3 linked regions of the Arabidopsis thaliana genome follow. The protein of the gene in region 1 interacts with the protein of each later gene in a biochemical or structural test. Each region holds a gene or a part of one and is shown on either strand. Other genes may lie near its edges. The genes, in order: RBOHD, BIK1 and BAK1.

The links.
Region 2: the proteins of RBOHD (region 1) and BIK1 form a complex in vitro, tested with the Arabidopsis thaliana proteins (one study listed by BioGRID).
Region 3: the proteins of RBOHD (region 1) and BAK1 form a complex in vitro, tested with the Arabidopsis thaliana proteins (one study listed by BioGRID).

The regions. Positions count from the first base shown.
Region 1 is NC_003076.8:19,395,275-19,402,599, forward strand, and holds RBOHD (respiratory burst oxidase homologue D), read left to right. Parts: upstream 1-1,766; 5' UTR 1,767-2,310; coding exon 2,311-2,938; intron 2,939-3,030; coding exon 3,031-3,193; intron 3,194-3,386; coding exon 3,387-3,435; intron 3,436-3,780; coding exon 3,781-3,894; intron 3,895-4,335; coding exon 4,336-5,145; intron 5,146-5,243; coding exon 5,244-5,339; intron 5,340-5,486; coding exon 5,487-6,282; intron 6,283-6,384; coding exon 6,385-6,494; 3' UTR 6,495-6,787; downstream 6,788-7,325. UniProt on the Arabidopsis thaliana protein: Calcium-dependent NADPH oxidase that generates superoxide.
Region 2 is NC_003071.7:16,529,819-16,534,491, forward strand, and holds BIK1 (botrytis-induced kinase1), read left to right. Parts: upstream 1-1,708; 5' UTR 1,709-2,124; coding exon 2,125-2,173; intron 2,174-2,294; coding exon 2,295-2,602; intron 2,603-2,694; coding exon 2,695-2,830; intron 2,831-2,913; coding exon 2,914-3,056; intron 3,057-3,135; coding exon 3,136-3,259; intron 3,260-3,355; coding exon 3,356-3,783; 3' UTR 3,784-4,168; downstream 4,169-4,673. Other genes in the region: AT2G39670 (Radical SAM superfamily protein), read left to right, coding at 4,485-4,673.
Region 3 is NC_003075.7:16,085,712-16,092,775, forward strand, and holds BAK1 (BRI1-associated receptor kinase), read right to left. Parts: upstream 5,067-7,064; 5' UTR 4,578-5,066; coding exon 4,493-4,577; intron 4,224-4,492; coding exon 4,091-4,223; intron 4,009-4,090; coding exon 3,937-4,008; intron 3,768-3,936; coding exon 3,624-3,767; intron 3,497-3,623; coding exon 3,356-3,496; intron 2,905-3,355; coding exon 2,833-2,904; intron 2,727-2,832; coding exon 2,655-2,726; intron 2,580-2,654; coding exon 2,503-2,579; intron 2,391-2,502; coding exon 2,259-2,390; intron 2,182-2,258; coding exon 1,840-2,181; intron 1,743-1,839; coding exon 1,348-1,742; intron 1,267-1,347; coding exon 943-1,266; 3' UTR 600-942; downstream 1-599. Other genes in the region: AT4G33420 (Peroxidase superfamily protein), read left to right, coding at 15-394; AT4G33440 (Pectin lyase-like superfamily protein), read left to right, coding at 6,309-6,731.

The sequences.
Region 1 (7,325 bases):
AGACTTGTTAAATTGCTCTCTTAGTCTTATCATACCTTCATCTCATATCCATTATAATCATCTTTAGCAATACTATTTTATTTTTAACTACGAAAAATAAACCTTGTTACGCCGTTATTAACAGTGATCATTTTTTTCGTTAAAGAAATTTAACATTCAAAAAAGATAAAGAATGATCACCAATAAGCGTCATGATCTTCCGTATGGTGATGATAAACATCGTTTGCAGTTTTGTTGTATAGTACAACGTATATGTAGCCGTAACGTGTGAATAGTGTATGGTTAGGGTCATTTTATTTGTGAACTACCACAATTTTGATAGCAGTGGAGATAAGTCAAAGGTTCGTCTTCTAATTAATTAACAGCGATTATTAGACTATCTAACTTTTCTTCTTTTCTTATTTTGATAATAACTATATATCTTCTTTAGCCACCTTACTTTCTCATCGGGTTCTATTTAAATAGGGACAAAGAAAACAAACCATCGATTTGTACTATGTGCTCAATTATATCATATGTTTTGTCTCCATCTATGTATCTATTTCTCTTTTCCATTTGGTAAATTATTTAAGACCCTTAAACTGACTTTTCTCGTGGGCGGCGTCGAAGTTTTGGTTAACAGACAAAACATCTGTTCATGATGCCTGCATAACTCTATGTTTTTATACTACTCATTTGCCCTCTATTTCATGCTACTCTTAAAAATAGCTAAATAAAAATACTTCAATATTAGAAAAAAAATCTTCTTGATGTCAAAAATACACTTTAGATATCCCCTCTAGTTCTTGTGATGCTAATATATTACAAAATTGTTTATATATATAGAAATATTACCTCTAGCAATACAAAAATCTTGTTATATCAATTAAATATAACACTATCCGACTAGTGTTTACTAAAATAACACATAATTTTTAATTATGATCTTTGAATTTTAGTTTATGTATTACGCTTTATAATTTTGTTATCAAAAACTATAAAAGCTCAAAAGTGAGCATCTATACCCTAATTCCGTTTTTATGCATACACTTAGGTTTATTTTTATTACGAGAATCTGTGTTTAGTATATATAAAATAGAGTTTATGAATGACTAAGTTAAATACTTCAATACTAATTAAAGTAAGTCGTATTGATGCAGACAATATAAACTTTAGATATCTCCGCTAGTTTGTATAATGCTAATAGATTCAAATTGTCTTTATGTAGAGGAATTACCTCAAATAACATAAAATTTTCATTTTATTAATTAAATCTCATTTTGTCATTTCAAAAGTCATTTTAATTACTGTGTTATTTGTCTAAAGTATACTCCAAACAAGAAACCAAAGTAGAAGGTCAGTGCCCAAGAGACAAATAAACTTAAGCATGTCCACTCTTTTTAGCGATCGGATCGCTTATCTGTTCTTATCCATTATGGAACATGAACGATGTTCCTTTAAGACTACCACATTCAAACGAAAAATAAGTCATCGATGATAGACTGGATAGTTATAGTTTGATGATCTAGCTAATTGACTTTCATATTTACATAAAACAGAAATGTGTTTTTATCAAAAAAGAAAAAAGAAAAAACAGAAAATGAACAATACATCTCACATGGAGTTTGTACAAGAATCCATAATAATTTTTTGTTCGGTACAGTAGGTTAGATATACATTTGAATACAGTTTACAAGCCAAATGTTAGAAGCAACATATTTATATAGTATCATCAATATACGATCCAAAATGAATTATAGATTGACTTATGGAAAAGTTAGATACTATATGCATGATTGCCAAATACATTGAAAAATAACAATTTAAGTTCTTCAAACAAAAGTTTATAAATGACTCGGTGTTTGACATAACTCGGGGTTGTTTTTCTTTGTTAATTCACACACGGGGTTGGTGTATAAATGACTTCGGTGTTTGAAATGTATGACACGGTATAAATAAAAAAGGTAAGGAAGAAATGAAGAATAGAAGAAGAACAAAAAAAAAAGGAAATTAAAAAAAAGTCAAAATAAATGGTCAGTAAAGGATTTTGACCAGACCGGAGCGGTCCATCCATAGTTTCCCACTACCTTCCCTGATTTAGCACAGAAGAATGGCAATTTGCATGCCATTTATTTCATCTATTCCTCCTTCACTCTATAAATATATTTTAAACAAAATCAATTTCTTCCATACACAAAAATCAAACACCTTTTGAGAGCGGTTATTTTTTCTCTATCAACTAATACAGTAACCTTACGGGTGTTTATTTGTATAGATCTCTGTGGTTTTCTTGGCCAAATCTAGTGAGATCTTTTTGGTTTCTCGAATTCGATGAAAATGAGACGAGGCAATTCAAGTAACGACCATGAACTTGGGATTCTACGAGGAGCTAACTCGGACACCAACTCGGACACGGAGAGCATCGCTAGCGACCGTGGTGCCTTTAGCGGTCCGCTTGGCCGGCCTAAACGTGCGTCCAAGAAAAACGCAAGATTCGCCGACGATCTTCCCAAGAGAAGCAATAGTGTTGCTGGCGGCCGTGGTGATGACGATGAGTACGTGGAGATCACGCTAGACATCAGGGACGACTCGGTGGCCGTCCATAGTGTCCAACAAGCAGCTGGAGGTGGAGGCCACCTGGAGGACCCGGAGCTAGCCCTTCTTACGAAGAAGACTCTCGAGAGCAGCCTCAACAACACCACCTCCTTATCTTTCTTCCGAAGCACCTCCTCACGCATCAAGAACGCCTCCCGCGAGCTCCGCCGCGTGTTCTCTAGACGTCCCTCCCCGGCCGTGCGGCGGTTTGACCGCACGAGCTCCGCGGCCATCCACGCACTCAAAGGTCTCAAGTTCATTGCCACCAAGACGGCCGCATGGCCGGCCGTCGACCAACGTTTCGATAAACTCTCCGCTGATTCCAACGGCCTCTTACTCTCTGCCAAGTTTTGGGAATGCTTAGGTAAGTAAATCACTTCTTACTAAGCAATTCTATTAGTACTATATGTTTCCATTTTTGTGTTAGTCTCATTTTTGTTTTGTTTTTTACTCTAGGAATGAATAAGGAATCTAAAGACTTCGCTGACCAGCTCTTTAGAGCATTAGCTCGCCGGAATAACGTCTCCGGCGATGCAATCACAAAGGAACAGCTTAGGATATTCTGGGAACAGATCTCAGACGAAAGCTTTGATGCCAAACTCCAAGTCTTTTTTGACATGTAAGCTTTTTTTTACATATCTTCACCTAACCCACAATAAATATATAACGCGTAATCACTATTTGTCGTTTAATATTGACTCTTAATGAAAATTAAACGGTCATCAGAATTTAAGGACCAAAAGTAGTAATATTAATCATTTGTGGAGTTTTGGTGGATTTGTAACTAATATATGACATCACTGTTTGGTCAGGGTGGACAAAGATGAAGATGGGCGAGTAACAGAAGAAGAGGTGGCTGAGGTGAGAAAACACACACACCACTCAATAATTATCTTTTTCAAATATTTTATTATATTTATACATTTTTTTTATCTTATATTTATTCATATTCCTGGTTGAATTTTTTTTCTCTTATTTTATACGTTATTCTTGGTTGATTATTTTGACAATTTTGTCCACGCGCAAATCCCCACTGACTTTATCTGCTGACGTTTACTATTAACATCATCAATATATTAACTTCATGTGAACACGACAAAATGGTAATAGATAGATAGAGTAGTAGTCTTTGTTACTTTAGCTTAGGTTATTAATGTTTCAAATACTTTAGCTTTTGTTTTCTAATTTGTTGGTAATTTATTGCAGATTATTAGTCTTAGTGCTTCTGCAAACAAGCTCTCAAATATTCAAAAGCAAGCCAAAGAATATGCGGCACTGATAATGGAAGAGTTGGACCCAGACAATGCTGGGTTTATTATGGTACGTGTGGTCCACTTTCACCCACTCAATCACACTAATGGTATTATGTACGTCGTAAATTTAACCACTCTTAAAATACTAGAAAAAACGTGGAAAAACATAACGTTCTAGAAGTCTTTAGTGGTCAAAATTGGGTCACCATGATGTTTTTTAATTTCCAACTTATTGGGCCATCTTGAACTTTTTACCAAACCAATCAACAAAATCTCGACAATGGGTGGTTAGTGGTTACGATATGAAGAAATGACCAATAAAATTGTAAAATATATGAACTAACACTATAATCCAAGCTTAGAAAGTCTTAGGCGGCTTCCGATAGTATATTGTTTTTTAATTATTGGAGAAACCTATGAAAAGTGTTTTTAAGAAAAACAGTTTGGAACATTAATGTTTTATTGTAACGTTTTAGTTAATTATATGATATGGACATTGGTGAAACAGATCGAAAACTTGGAAATGTTGCTATTACAAGCACCAAACCAGTCGGTGCGGATGGGAGACAGCAGGATACTTAGTCAGATGTTAAGTCAGAAGCTTAGACCGGCAAAAGAGAGCAACCCTTTAGTGAGATGGTCGGAGAAAATCAAATATTTCATACTTGACAATTGGCAGAGACTATGGATAATGATGTTATGGCTTGGCATCTGTGGTGGCCTCTTTACTTATAAATTCATTCAGTACAAGAACAAAGCTGCCTATGGTGTCATGGGTTATTGCGTTTGTGTCGCCAAAGGAGGCGCCGAGACTCTCAAATTCAACATGGCTCTCATATTGTTGCCTGTTTGTCGAAACACCATCACTTGGCTTAGGAACAAGACTAAGCTTGGTACTGTCGTTCCTTTTGATGATAGTCTTAACTTCCACAAGGTTATTGCAAGCGGGATAGTCGTCGGTGTTTTACTCCATGCGGGTGCCCATTTAACGTGTGATTTTCCACGTTTAATTGCCGCGGATGAGGACACCTATGAGCCGATGGAAAAATACTTTGGGGATCAACCGACTAGCTACTGGTGGTTTGTGAAAGGAGTGGAAGGATGGACTGGCATTGTGATGGTTGTGCTAATGGCTATAGCCTTTACACTCGCGACGCCTTGGTTCCGACGTAACAAGCTTAACTTACCTAACTTCCTCAAGAAGCTTACCGGTTTCAACGCCTTTTGGTACACCCACCATTTGTTCATCATTGTTTATGCTCTTCTCATTGTCCATGGTATCAAGCTCTACCTCACAAAGATTTGGTATCAGAAAACGGTACTCTCTTCAAACCTCATTTTATCTGTTTTAATTTCTTATTTTCTTTCCTTTTTCCGGTTAATAACATTTATTACCTGTTTGTATGATTCTTGTAGACATGGATGTATCTTGCTGTACCCATCCTTCTATATGCATCGGAGAGGCTGCTCCGTGCTTTCAGATCAAGCATCAAACCGGTTAAGATGATCAAGGTCAGATATATTTCTATTTATCTCTTGAAAACCTTATGTTTCAAGAAATATTTCAACTAATACTTTTAAACCATCTTATTTTATAGTTCTTTTTGATAAAAGTTTGAAAATTGCCTTTGAACTTAATCTATATATATGTAACAACAGGTGGCTGTTTACCCCGGGAACGTGTTGTCTCTACACATGACGAAGCCACAAGGATTCAAATACAAAAGTGGACAGTTCATGTTGGTGAACTGCCGAGCCGTATCTCCATTCGAATGGCATCCTTTCTCAATCACATCAGCTCCCGGAGACGATTACCTGAGCGTACATATCCGCACTCTCGGTGACTGGACACGTAAGCTCAGGACCGTTTTCTCCGAGGTTTGCAAACCTCCTACCGCCGGTAAAAGCGGTCTTCTCCGAGCAGACGGAGGAGATGGAAACCTCCCGTTCCCGAAGGTCCTTATCGACGGTCCATACGGTGCTCCCGCACAAGACTACAAGAAATACGACGTGGTACTCCTCGTAGGTCTCGGCATTGGAGCCACGCCTATGATCAGTATCCTTAAGGACATCATCAACAACATGAAAGGTCCTGACCGCGACAGCGACATTGAGAACAATAACAGTAACAACAATAGTAAAGGGTTTAAGACAAGGAAAGCTTATTTCTACTGGGTGACTAGGGAACAAGGATCATTCGAGTGGTTCAAGGGAATAATGGACGAGATTTCGGAGTTAGACGAGGAAGGAATCATCGAGCTTCACAATTATTGCACGAGTGTGTACGAGGAAGGTGATGCAAGAGTGGCTCTCATTGCCATGCTTCAGTCGTTGCAACACGCTAAGAACGGTGTGGATGTTGTGTCGGGTACACGTGTCAAGTCCCACTTCGCTAAACCTAACTGGAGACAAGTCTACAAGAAGATCGCTGTTCAACATCCCGGCAAAAGAATAGGTAACTAATCTCGACCGTTAATCTCGTTATGTACGTGATGTTGTATAATAATTAATAAAGTGATGAATTTAGACTAAATACTAATATGAATTTTGATTGCAGGAGTCTTCTACTGTGGAATGCCAGGAATGATAAAGGAATTAAAAAATCTAGCTTTGGATTTTTCTCGAAAGACAACTACCAAGTTTGACTTCCACAAAGAGAACTTCTAGATTAATTATATACGTTGTAGAAAAATAAAACAAGAAACAACTATACAAATAAATATTTATTTTAAATTCTTTTCATTTTTATGTAAAATTATCTGAGTTATCTTTTTTTGTTCTTCTATATCCCTACCGTTTTGTTGGTTACTTTTTCACTACTTAGTTTAATGCCAAATTAAGTATAAGATAGTAGAAGTTTATATAGTTACAGCTTTGGTGTTGTAAACATGTAATCATGGAGTTATCTGTACTATTATTTTGTACTTATATTCGAATATTAACAACTAAAGATAGTTTTGATATTCAATACCCATTACTCATTTAACATAATGAATAGAGATATCAACATTAGATACGTCTTGATTATTTGCTCACCAATGCATTTGCGTGTTTAACTTGTTTATATGTTATTAATAGTGTTCTTTTAGTTAAAATGACAAATAATTTCTTAACTCAAAAGCATCTTATATCACAACTCTAGCTAGATTAGTTTAGCTTTTCATAAGTCTTCTTGCGTTTACGTCTTTATTTATGGGTTGATACCCTATTCACTACTTTAATTTGCCTTGCACTTGGGATAGTTTAAAAGACTTTAAAATTATGCAGCTAGAATATAATCAAAACTTGATATAAGTATCAAAATAATTAAATACAATTGCTATCGATAATAATCAGAAACAATCGTTATGAATGGTTAAGTTTGTTTCCTTAAAATGGTTACGAATGATTAATTTTGTTCCTTAGGTAAACTAAAAGTTCAAAAACAAATCCAACCTACTACAATCTAAGAAAACTGACAAAGTTTATGGTTGATTACAGAATAGGTCGCTTGAGCGT
Region 2 (4,673 bases), on another chromosome or scaffold:
CTCGGACGATATTTCTTGTATTTAATACCAAAAATGAATGACTTTATAATTCATTTGTAGATTGAAAGTTACGTATTGATTCGAAAATCAACACATTGTGTTTTCAAGTGGGCATAAACTATAACACCTTGTTGATTGATTAATAGATTACCTAAAGACATTATGGTTTATTACTGGTCTTTCAATATATTTTTATCGCATTGTCAATGATATTGTTTTTGTATCCCAAGTCCACTGTTTTGGTCTCTACATTCATTTTGATTGGGATTTATCTTTTTAAAATTTCTTCTAATGTTTTTTCGATATGGTTATTACTTGCTTTGATTTTCTTTTCAGTATGTGTATTGCTTTGCAAATTGTTTTTTTCTTAAGATGAAAAACAACTCATTAAATTGTTTGAGAAATACTACTAAAACAAATAAACAATGAGGAGAATTATGGAAAACAAAGTGTAATAGGCTTTAATTCATTGCTAGTGGGCTTTTTGGGCCTATGGGCATATTACTTACCACTATCCAACCCAAAATGCCAAATAACCGACATGTCTCACACAATCCAATTTTGGGCCATACGGCCGAAATTATTTAAACCTGTGCTCATAATTTACTTTACAAATTATTACTTTTCCATAAATTGTGGAAAAGTTATCTGTAACATCCGATTCAACTGGAGTCTAGACTACTATAGACATTGATACGTTTTGAGTTTTTAGATACTTGGAAGATATATGCATTTATGAATACAGATTACAGACACATACTAGTACTACTGTATGTCTGTATATGGATACAAAAAAAATCATGTATGAATACTAAAATTTTATTAGAAATCTATTTTTCAATTGTTGCAACAATCAAGTTGTCAAATTTATTTTTGTAACCGTTAAACAAACAAATATCGATTTAGGTTTCTAATCTGAATTGACATCTCAAACAAAAAAGGCTGAATACTTTCTGAAAATAGTGTATGGAATGAAGGTGGCTTTTAGAGCCATTATAACCGGAAGAAAATTCAGGTGACTTTTAGAACCATTATAACCGGAAGAAAAGGTGAATTTTAATTTTTAGCTGTGTGGAAGACACGGCAAGTCCAAGTAGTACCTTCGTACGTCAATATTGTCCAACCGGCCGTGTCGAAAATCTTCTTGAGAAAAATTGGATTTTCATCTATAAAAAAAAAAAGTCCAAGTAATACCAAACAAAGACAGCGACGTGTAAAACAATACAAGACTCATAATCACAAACCTACCACCCAAGTCAAACCTATATTCCATTTAGTGAATTCTTGATTATGACTTCTTGAAATCATTTGTATTCATATGTATAATTATTTAAGTCATTTTTCTGTAAGTAAAATTTTTATATATCTAGAATAACGAGTTCCCTACGACAAGATACAGTTGAACGTAAATGTGACATCTCAATTTTCATTGGTGTCTAGTACTCTAGTGATTAGGTTTTCGACATTTATTGTACTGATTAAGTAAAAATTCATGGTACAAACATCGAATATATATTTTTCTGCTTACACACACCAATTAACGTGGATAGACCAATTGAAATATTTTGTTACGACAAAGCAAAACAAAACAAACGTCATGTTTCGCTGTTTGTTTGTCGTCCCGTTAATGGTAATCTTTCAGACACATACAGTACCCAAACAAGTAATTTGACTAAAATTTTCTCTCTGTCTAAATTTCAGAAGAAAAAAAAACTTTAGGATATATTGCCAAAAGATCTTAAAAATGGGTCATATCATTTTGATCATATAGAATCCAACGACCTTTATCTTTTCGCCGAACTATACTTTTTTGTGTCCATTTGTTTGACTTTCTTTCACACACACATCCACAAAGAAAAAAGGACCATTCTTCTCCTTCTTCTAGTCACCCCTCGTGCCTCTCTTTAACACCAAACCCAAAACTCCCTTCTCTTTCTTCCTTCCTCTCCGATCTCCGTTCACATCTCTCTCTCATCTTTATCTTCTTCTTTTTTTGCCTTGTGGGTTGAAAGTTTCTATATTTTCTCTTTCTCTTCTGTTTACATAATCCATTTTCAGCTCAAGCAGCTGAAGAATAACGATCAAGAACCAAAAAAGAAGAAAACGAATCTGTTCTTAGCTTTGATGGGTTCTTGCTTCAGTTCTCGAGTCAAAGCAGACATCTTCCACAATGGTACCATCTCTCTCCAACTATCAATTTTCTTGCAATCTGGAATTATGCATCTCTCTGTTTTTAATTCATGGAGATTTCCGATTTTGATTATTGTAAATGGTCAACATGTGTGTCTGTGTAGGTAAGAGCAGCGATCTTTATGGTCTAAGTCTCTCAAGTCGGAAATCGTCTTCGACTGTAGCGGCGGCTCAGAAGACGGAAGGGGAGATATTGAGTTCGACCCCTGTCAAAAGCTTCACCTTTAACGAACTCAAACTCGCCACAAGAAACTTCAGACCAGATAGTGTGATCGGAGAAGGTGGCTTTGGTTGTGTCTTTAAAGGCTGGTTAGATGAGTCCACTCTCACTCCGACTAAACCTGGAACCGGTTTGGTCATCGCCGTTAAAAAGCTTAACCAAGAAGGTTTTCAAGGTCACCGTGAATGGCTGGTACTGTGTTTTCATTTCCCCAAACTTAAGAGTCATGTGTTATATATGTGTGAATGCGTGTCTGATCTGTTGTGTTGTGTTGTGCTATTCAGACAGAGATCAATTACTTGGGGCAACTGAGTCACCCAAATCTAGTTAAACTGATCGGTTATTGCTTAGAAGATGAACACCGTCTTCTAGTCTACGAGTTTATGCAAAAAGGAAGTCTTGAGAATCATCTATTCAGAAGTGAGTCCCATGGATCATCTTTATCTTTGATTAAATCTGTTTTCTTTTGTTTTTGGTTCTGATGGAAAATGGTTTTAATATAGGAGGTGCATATTTTAAGCCACTCCCATGGTTTCTACGGGTCAATGTTGCGCTTGATGCAGCAAAGGGGCTTGCTTTTCTTCACAGCGATCCCGTCAAAGTGATATACCGAGACATTAAAGCCTCGAACATCTTACTTGATGCGGTATGTAGAGAAATATACACATTCAAAGAATTAGATGTCTTCATAGTACTTTCCTGATGACTTTGATTCCCTTAAACAGGACTACAACGCAAAACTTTCTGACTTTGGACTAGCTAGAGACGGTCCAATGGGTGATTTGAGTTATGTTAGTACAAGGGTCATGGGTACTTATGGGTACGCCGCGCCTGAGTACATGTCATCAGGTAAAAATCTATCACCTTAAATATGAATTATGACTAGGTTGATCAAATGTTTTAGAGCATAAGGATAATTGTTTTTAAATCCTCGTATCATTTCAGGTCACTTGAATGCAAGAAGCGATGTGTACAGTTTCGGAGTTTTGCTTCTAGAGATTTTATCTGGTAAGCGAGCGTTGGATCATAACAGACCGGCTAAAGAAGAAAACCTTGTGGATTGGGCTCGACCGTACCTCACAAGCAAACGTAAGGTTCTCCTAATCGTGGACAATCGGCTAGACACACAGTACCTACCTGAAGAAGCCGTGAGAATGGCAAGCGTGGCGGTGCAGTGTCTCTCATTTGAACCCAAGTCGCGCCCGACCATGGACCAAGTGGTCCGTGCCTTACAACAACTTCAGGACAACTTGGGAAAACCGAGTCAGACCAATCCGGTTAAGGATACCAAGAAACTTGGTTTTAAAACTGGTACTACTAAGTCATCCGAAAAACGGTTTACACAAAAACCTTTTGGCAGGCACCTTGTGTAGGTCAAGTTGATAACTGAATTCCAGGATGGACATTTTTCCGGCGGTTTACTTGAAACTGCCGATATCCGTTTTCGACGGATTGAATGCGGTTCTGGACAAACCGTGCAGGTCAAGACTAATAAAGGATACATTAAATTTTCCGGTTACATGTCCCATACCCAACCTTAGAGAACATGTGTAGCCTTTAGCTTAGGCTTCCTTGTGTGCTGTTATATTGAGTATATATGAGGTAATTTTTGCCTCTTGTGTTGTAACACTTGTATTTTTGTTCCTTTAACATTTGATGTAGAGATTTTTCCTATATCTTCAGTTTTGAAACCCAAATTTATTGCAAGTCAAAATATGAAAATTCTAATCAATGTGCAATGAATAACACAAATCCGAATTGTGCTTTGTTGGCTGCAGACCTGCAGTTAACACAAATCTTATAAATTTGAAATGTCGTTCAAACTCCAAACCACAAAAAGGGGAAGCAAAACGCAACCGTTTCACGATTTTTGTCTAGTTTGGTCCAATTTCTCAATTACGGTTTTGTGAAATGCGTGTCGGTCTTTGGTTCTGCATTCGAACTGTGTGGCGTTTTGTGTAACTTATCCACTTAGTGAGCAAAACTACTCGACTCGTAGTAGTTGCAGAGAGGTTTTAGCCGCAGAAGAAAAGGGTTTACTCTGTCTTCTTCAGACTTCTCAGTGATCGAAGCTATGATGACGACAACAACCAATACTATGGCTATGCTTCAAAACCTCGTCTTCTCTGTTCCAATCTCTCGTATGGTAGTTCGGCGTCACTCCCTCGCTACCACCTTCTCCGCTGCCGCCACAACCGTCGTACCGTCTCCTAAACCGGTATCAGCCAAACCGGCGCGTACTCCACACGTGGACTCACATGTT
Region 3 (7,064 bases), on another chromosome or scaffold:
GGATATATATATAGGAGCACATACCCTAGGAGTTGCACGATGCTCCTCCTTCAAGGCTAGACTTACCGTCCCAGACTCTTCATTAGACTCGACTTTTGCAAACACTCTCTCTAAAACATGCAGCGCGGGTGACAATGCAGAGCAACCCTTTGATGCTACGCGCAACGATTTCGACAATGCTTACTTCAATGCGCTTCAGATGAAATCAGGAGTCCTCTTTTCAGACCAAACTTTATTCAACACACCAAGGACCAGGAATCTTGTTAACGGCTATGCACTTAACCAAGCCAAGTTCTTCTTTGATTTCCAACAGGCCATGCGCAAGATGAGCAATCTTGATGTTAAACTTGGCTCTCAAGGTGAAGTCCGTCAAAATTGTCGGAGTATTAATTAGGCTAGACCACATCTACTTACGATTTTTGTATTTATAATAAGTTCTCTACTCTTGTTATATGAAGAATCATGAATCTTCTAGGCTACTATGTAAAAATTGTGTACTCTCGTAATATGCAGTTGTATACTTATTGCTTGTGTGGTTCAGATATCCATCAAAAAGTAATATACTTTGGTTGCATTTTCTTGTCCAATTGCTATTTAAAGGCAAAAGTCTCCTTTTCTTCTGAACAATCTCCGGATCTAGAAATCACATGATAACACAGAAACCGGTAAGAAAAGAAACCTGACGCACGGTGAAAAAGAATAATTGATGGGATACATATTTGTGAATCAAGTGCGCAACAATCCTCAAGTGGTGAGCTTAAGACATGTTTGGGTTTTAGCTTTCAACAACATTCAAATCCTTTTTCATCATATAACACTTACAAACCCAATCTGATCCTCATGTATTCACTTAAGAACCAATAATATGGAGCAGCAGAAGCTAAAACCCTCAATAAATACAGAGAAAAACAAAATACAGAAAAAACATTCGTGTTTCGAATCTTATCTTGGACCCGAGGGGTATTCGTTTTCGATCTGGGAAGTGGAATCGCCAATGATCCAGCCAGACACGGCTGGATGGTGGGTTGGGTAGTTGAAATCTTGTCTGAACATTTCCTCCTTTTGCCACTCTTCCCATCTCTCAGCTAAACCATCTCCTTCAAGCATTCTTACAACTTCAGACATTTTGGGTCTTTCCATTGGTGAACTCTGAGTGCAGAGTAAAGCCACTTGGATTAGCTGCTCCACTTCTTCGTCTTTGTAATTACCCTGAAGATCAACATCTACTAGTGCTTCCAATTTCTTCTCTTTTAACAACCCTTTCACCTGTCGAAATGAATAATTAACACAAATAGAGGTAACACAGATAATGAACTATACAAGTGGGAAACTCATATATGTATATACCCAGTCTAGTAACATGACATCATCATCATTCGCGAGGCGAGCAAGATCAAAAGCCCTTTGTCCAGTGATAAGCTCAAGAAGCATGACTCCATACCCAAAGACATCGGTTTTCTCTGATGATTTTCCAGTGGAAAGGTACTCAGGGGCTATATGACCAATTGTCCCACGCACTGCGGTTGTCACATGTGTGTCTTTGTAGTCCATGAGTTTTGCAAGTCCAAAATCCCCAACCACGGCTTCAAACTCTTCATCCAACAAAATATTTGCAGCTTTCACATCTCGATGAATAATCTTTGGGTCGCAATGATCATGTAAATACGCAAGCCCTCTTGCAGATCCCAACGCAATACGCTGTCTCTTTGGCCAATCAAGTGGTGGCTGGGACTCGGGACGTTCTAAGGAGAAAATAAAATATAAGATTACTACGGATAAAAAGGCAACCATTGGACGGAAATATTGCAGTCAAAGAAAAAGGCACAAGATGAGAGATACCTCTTAAACAGGAGGCAACACTTCCATTAGCCATGTAGGGATAAACAAGCAATCTTTCGGTTGGAGTCATGCAAAATCCACGAAGCCGAAGCAAGTTTCTGTGAACCGCCATACTAATCATCTCAACCTCTGTCTGGAACTGCAGTTCGCCACCTTGGGTGCGCTCCTCTTTTAGCCTTTTAACGGCCACTAAAGTACCATCAGCTAACCGTCCTTTATAAACTTTACCAAAACCACCTCTACCCAATATGTTCTTGTTGCTAAAATTATCCGAAGCAACTTGTAGTTCACGCAATGAAAACCTCTTCAGTTGTCCTAAATGAACTTCTGGGTCCTCTTCAGCTGCAAAAAGACGGTAATAAAAAAAAATCAGCAAGAGAAGTGTTAATGAGGAAACAGGTAAAGCAAGTTTAGCTAACCTGGTACATCAAAGAAGTGGTCCTGCGGCTTTTTCCTTCGCCACCAAGCTAGTGCAATGGCCGGAACAGCAAATAGAAGTGCAGCACCTGCAGCAACTCCTCCCGCAATCGCTCCAGTAATTCTATTACTCCCTGCAAGAATGAAATGAACAATCTCTTTCTTAATACTTAATGGATCTGCTTAAAATGTTTACTTATTCAGTTGAATAACATTTCAAAGACAAAGACATATACAAAAAAAAACCTGCAGGTGATGGCGGTGTAGGAGAGATAGGAGGCGGTGGAGATGCAGGAAGGGGAGTCAACTTGGTGTTGGCAAAACTGCAAAATTTCAAATAATTAATCAAACATTCTGACCTCTCCACCAAGATTTAAACTAGGAGCAGGATGCAAAACCTGATTGGAGTGAAAAGTGAAAAGGAACCATTAACAGGAATATCTCCGGTGAGAGGATTGTTTGAGAGATCCCTGCATTATAAGATGATATCATTTTCTGACTTAATGCCAAGATCGGCCAAACAATAATCAGAAACATGAACACAGAGGAATTTGAGAGAGATAAAGTTACACTCACAGAACTTGTAGCGTCAGGACAGCAGTCAAAGACCTTGGAATTTCTCCAGATAAGCTATTGTTATTAAGACGCCTAACCACCAATACAAAAAGAGAATGTCATGAATAAGTGGAAATACATTAACCAGTAATGAGTTTATAGTGAGAGCAAAAATACAAACTTTAAAAGACTTTCAAAAGTAGGGGTTGTTCTAAAATCTCATCCAACAGATATGAAGCTGATTGAAAAATCAAGTATATTTTCCTAATTAGCGCGACTTACTACTTTAGATGCGTTCACCCTCTAGATTTACAGAGCACTCACAAATTAATAAGTAACAATAGGGTTTAGCGCTTAAATTCTAAGGCAGAAGAATATTGTTATCTTTGATAGAATTTCATTCTTCCAGAACCAAATCGATTTCATACAAAATAAGCGAGTCAATAACTACCATTGAAGATCACAAAGGTGACACACGAGAACAACCAAAAAGACAGTCACCTGAATTCGGAACTTTGTGTTGTTCCAGTAAAATTAAGCGAACACAAGGATAGAGTTCTGATTCCTTTTACGAAAGCTCATAATTAAAATAGACCATATTATACAACATCCTAGTCTCCAAGAGAACACCTTTTCATCTAGTAAAATAACGTAGCATCTATTTGGCGACACTACTTTCTGACTCCTACAAATGTAACACGTTGCACGAATAGCTTTTACAGGAAGACAAACACGATCAAGGAAACTAAAGACAATAATTAGGCTGCTTATTAAAAACGTATTAAAAGAAGAGAGTAGAATATGGTGCATACAAGAAACGGAGTTTCTTAAGTCGGCCGAGAGTTGATGGAATAGGCCCGCTTAAATTGTTCAAGTAAAGATCCAAGCTCACCAATTCCGTCAGATTTCCAAGCTGTTCTGGGATTGTCCCAGTAATGTTATTGCTATAAAGCTCCCTGTCATTACCATTCTTTAATATTAATTTCACCATAAGATCGGAAAGATATATAACTAATAATCTATGATAATGCAAAATTATGCAGTTATTTGGAACATTGTAACATTTTTAACATCCCACATACACCAAAAGTTAAAAGACGGCCTTTTAAAGAAAAGATGACTTACAAGTACTGCAAGTTTGGAAGCTGACCAAGTTGCATTACGAGCTGTCCAGATAGATTTGCATTCCCAAGGTCACTGAGCAAAAATGAAGTTCAAGTAAATTCTCAGTAGATGCGAAAATCCGAATCATCTTGGCTAGATATAGAAAGAAACTTACACACGTGTAACACTATTGTCGCTATTGCAAGTAACATGAAACCATGTACATGGAGTAACAAGAGTAGCATCCCAACTTTGAAGCACCTTATTAGGGTCGGCTAAACTGTTTTTCAGTGCACTTAGAGCATCACCTACAATTAACCAAAGAAGAAGAAAAAATCAAACTTTGCAATCATCAAGTGTCACGAGGATACATAATCACTGGAATCAGTCGAAACAGATGTAACCCAAATATAACTCAAGTCAATACAGCAAAACAAGTAACAGATAAGTTAAAAATGCCTTCTTTAGGTGAGAACAAGCTCTCATAAGCCTATACTAATCAAAATACTCAACAAGGGAAACTAATTTAATTGGAAAGAATGAAAAATTGAAAGAGAATGAGAGAGAAAGGGGAAACCTTCGGCGTTGCCCGAGACTCTGAGAACCAAATCCAAAACGAGAATCAACCAAAAGAAGCAAGGGATCATTAATCTTCGTTCCATTTTATCCTCAAGAGATTAAAAACAAACCCTAGAACTATCCCTCATCAGAGAAAATCCATCATTGTTAAAACCCCTGATAAAAGGGATCTCGAATCCTTCGATTAAGCTACCACCCACACAAGGTAATACCAAGATGATGAAATTAGAAGCAGAATACGAGAAAAGCCCTCTCAACGCGTATCCACCCGTTGACTTAATTTGAAGAGAAAATCAAAATACCCAAATCGATTAATCGCGGAAACCAAAAAAGCAAAAAAAAAAGAAACTGAAGCTAGACTTTTCCGATTAGAAGGAACGCCGAGATCGCTGACCGTTGACTACTTAATGCTGAGAAGAGAGAAAACTGAGATAGAGAAAACGAAAGGAGGAAGAAGATATTTCCTGGAAATATACTAAAAAAGGGTCGAAACAAAGAGAGATGAGAGAGAGGAGAGAAACCAAGTTATCGCCGAGAGCAAGGAAGGAAGACGAATTTTAATTATTTTCTTTGCTTAAAGAAGGGATTTTACTGGGTTGAGTTGTTGTACTGTGAAAACTATATTAAAAAAATGACATTTAAGATTGAGAAAACGACAAAGAGGATGATGACGTGGACGAGCATTTTCAAAGCTTTTTTAGAGCTAGTCAAAGTCAAAGACGCACGACTTCATTCCGAATCATGTTTGTTATGTTCGCCCACCTTATCATCATCCATCATATGACATTAGATATAAACCATGATGGTCATGAACTCATGATAGTTGATAGTGAGTTATATACCATCATCATAATCCTAATTACCGGCCCAGCTCTATTTTTTCGGGCTTTTATTGTTTATTGGGCTTGGTCTTAATAGCAAGTTCGTTTATTCCAAAGATGAGCAAAAGCTTTTTTGATTTTTTTATTCTTTTTTAAAGATTATAGCTCTAAAAAATTACAATTCAATATTGAAAAATGTAAGCTGAATAATCCATCTGGTCCAATGAATTAAACAAAACAAAAAACATTATTGTATCATATATAATTTACTGGTTGATAGTTTAACTATTTATGCCATTTAATATTTTTAAAAGAACAAAAGTAATTTTGAGGAAAAATGAAATAAAAAACAAAAAACACAAACGGACAGAGTATATGTTGCCAGCAATAAAATACGGACATATACCTTAGTTTGGCATTAAAAAACAAAACAAAAACACAACAAACAACTCAGTACAGTAGGCTATTTAAAGGCCCATCAGATTAAGACTTGGAAGTCTGACGAGATTGTAACGCCTCACAATCCTTCCTACCCGTGAGTCCGTGACCGATTGTGTATCATCCATCTTCTTTCTTCTTCTTTCTTCTTCTTTCTTCTTCTTTTATATATAAACCAAAATATAATTCGTGAAGACTTTCACTTTCTCCTTGCCACTTTTTGACGATTCACATGCACCATCCAATATTTTAGTGCCCTTTTCACGACATATCTGTGTCTGTATCCAATTTTCTTATTTACTACTACTTTTTTCTATTTATATATACAAAAATAATCAAAGAGAGAGACGAATTTTCGAGGTAAGGTATCTATCGACTTTCTATCTTCCTCCACCTTTGTTTGTTGTCACCACCACACTACGCTAATCATTGCCACACACATGCATAATTCTCTCCAACCATCTAAAAGTCCCACTTTAGCATTCTTCTGTTTGTAATTTTATCTCAGAGCTTGCTTCATGGGCTTTTGAGTTTTCTCTCTGTTTCCAAAAAACAATGGAACCGGAGAAGAATCCGACCACAGTATTGAGTGCCATTACAAGACCTTCGTGGGCGTTTCTTCTCCTTGTTTTCACCGTCTTAGCGATTCTCTCTCTCCAAATCTCTTCCAATTCTTTTCTCCCTCTCTGGATCCCGACTTCTCAATATGACGACCCTGTTACCTGCTCCGGGTTTTTCAATCACGACCCGTTCCCTAACCGGATCGTTATGTCGATTACCGATTTCGGCGGTGTTGGAGACGGAAAGACGTCGAACACGGCCGCTTTCCGCCGCGCCGTAAGGCACCTTGAAGGTTTTGCGGCGGAGGGTGGGGCCCAGCTCAATGTCCCGGAGGGCACGTGGCTTTCTGGAAGCTTCAACCTCACCAGCAATTTCACGCTCTTTCTCGAACGCGGCGCTCTCATTTTGGGATCCAAGGTTATATCAAAGTTTTGAATTCTTTAACACATTGATAAAGTTTACTTTTTTTTTGCTTTGTTTGTTGTTGATTGGTTCTGAACAGTAGTAGTATTAAGAGAATTCAATTAGTTGTTGATTGCTCTGTGAGAATCCAAAATTTGGGTTTGTGATTGCTTTTTGATTTGTGGGTTCATAAAGTTTTGTTGGTAAACACTATATTCATTTCGCTAATCACGGTCAGTGGTTAAAATGGACCCACCATTGTTTGATACAGCAAAAAAGCTGTTATTTTTGAGTGGGGATAGTCTCTAGTAGTGCGAAATCTGGATTTGCATATCAAAAGTCAGTGTT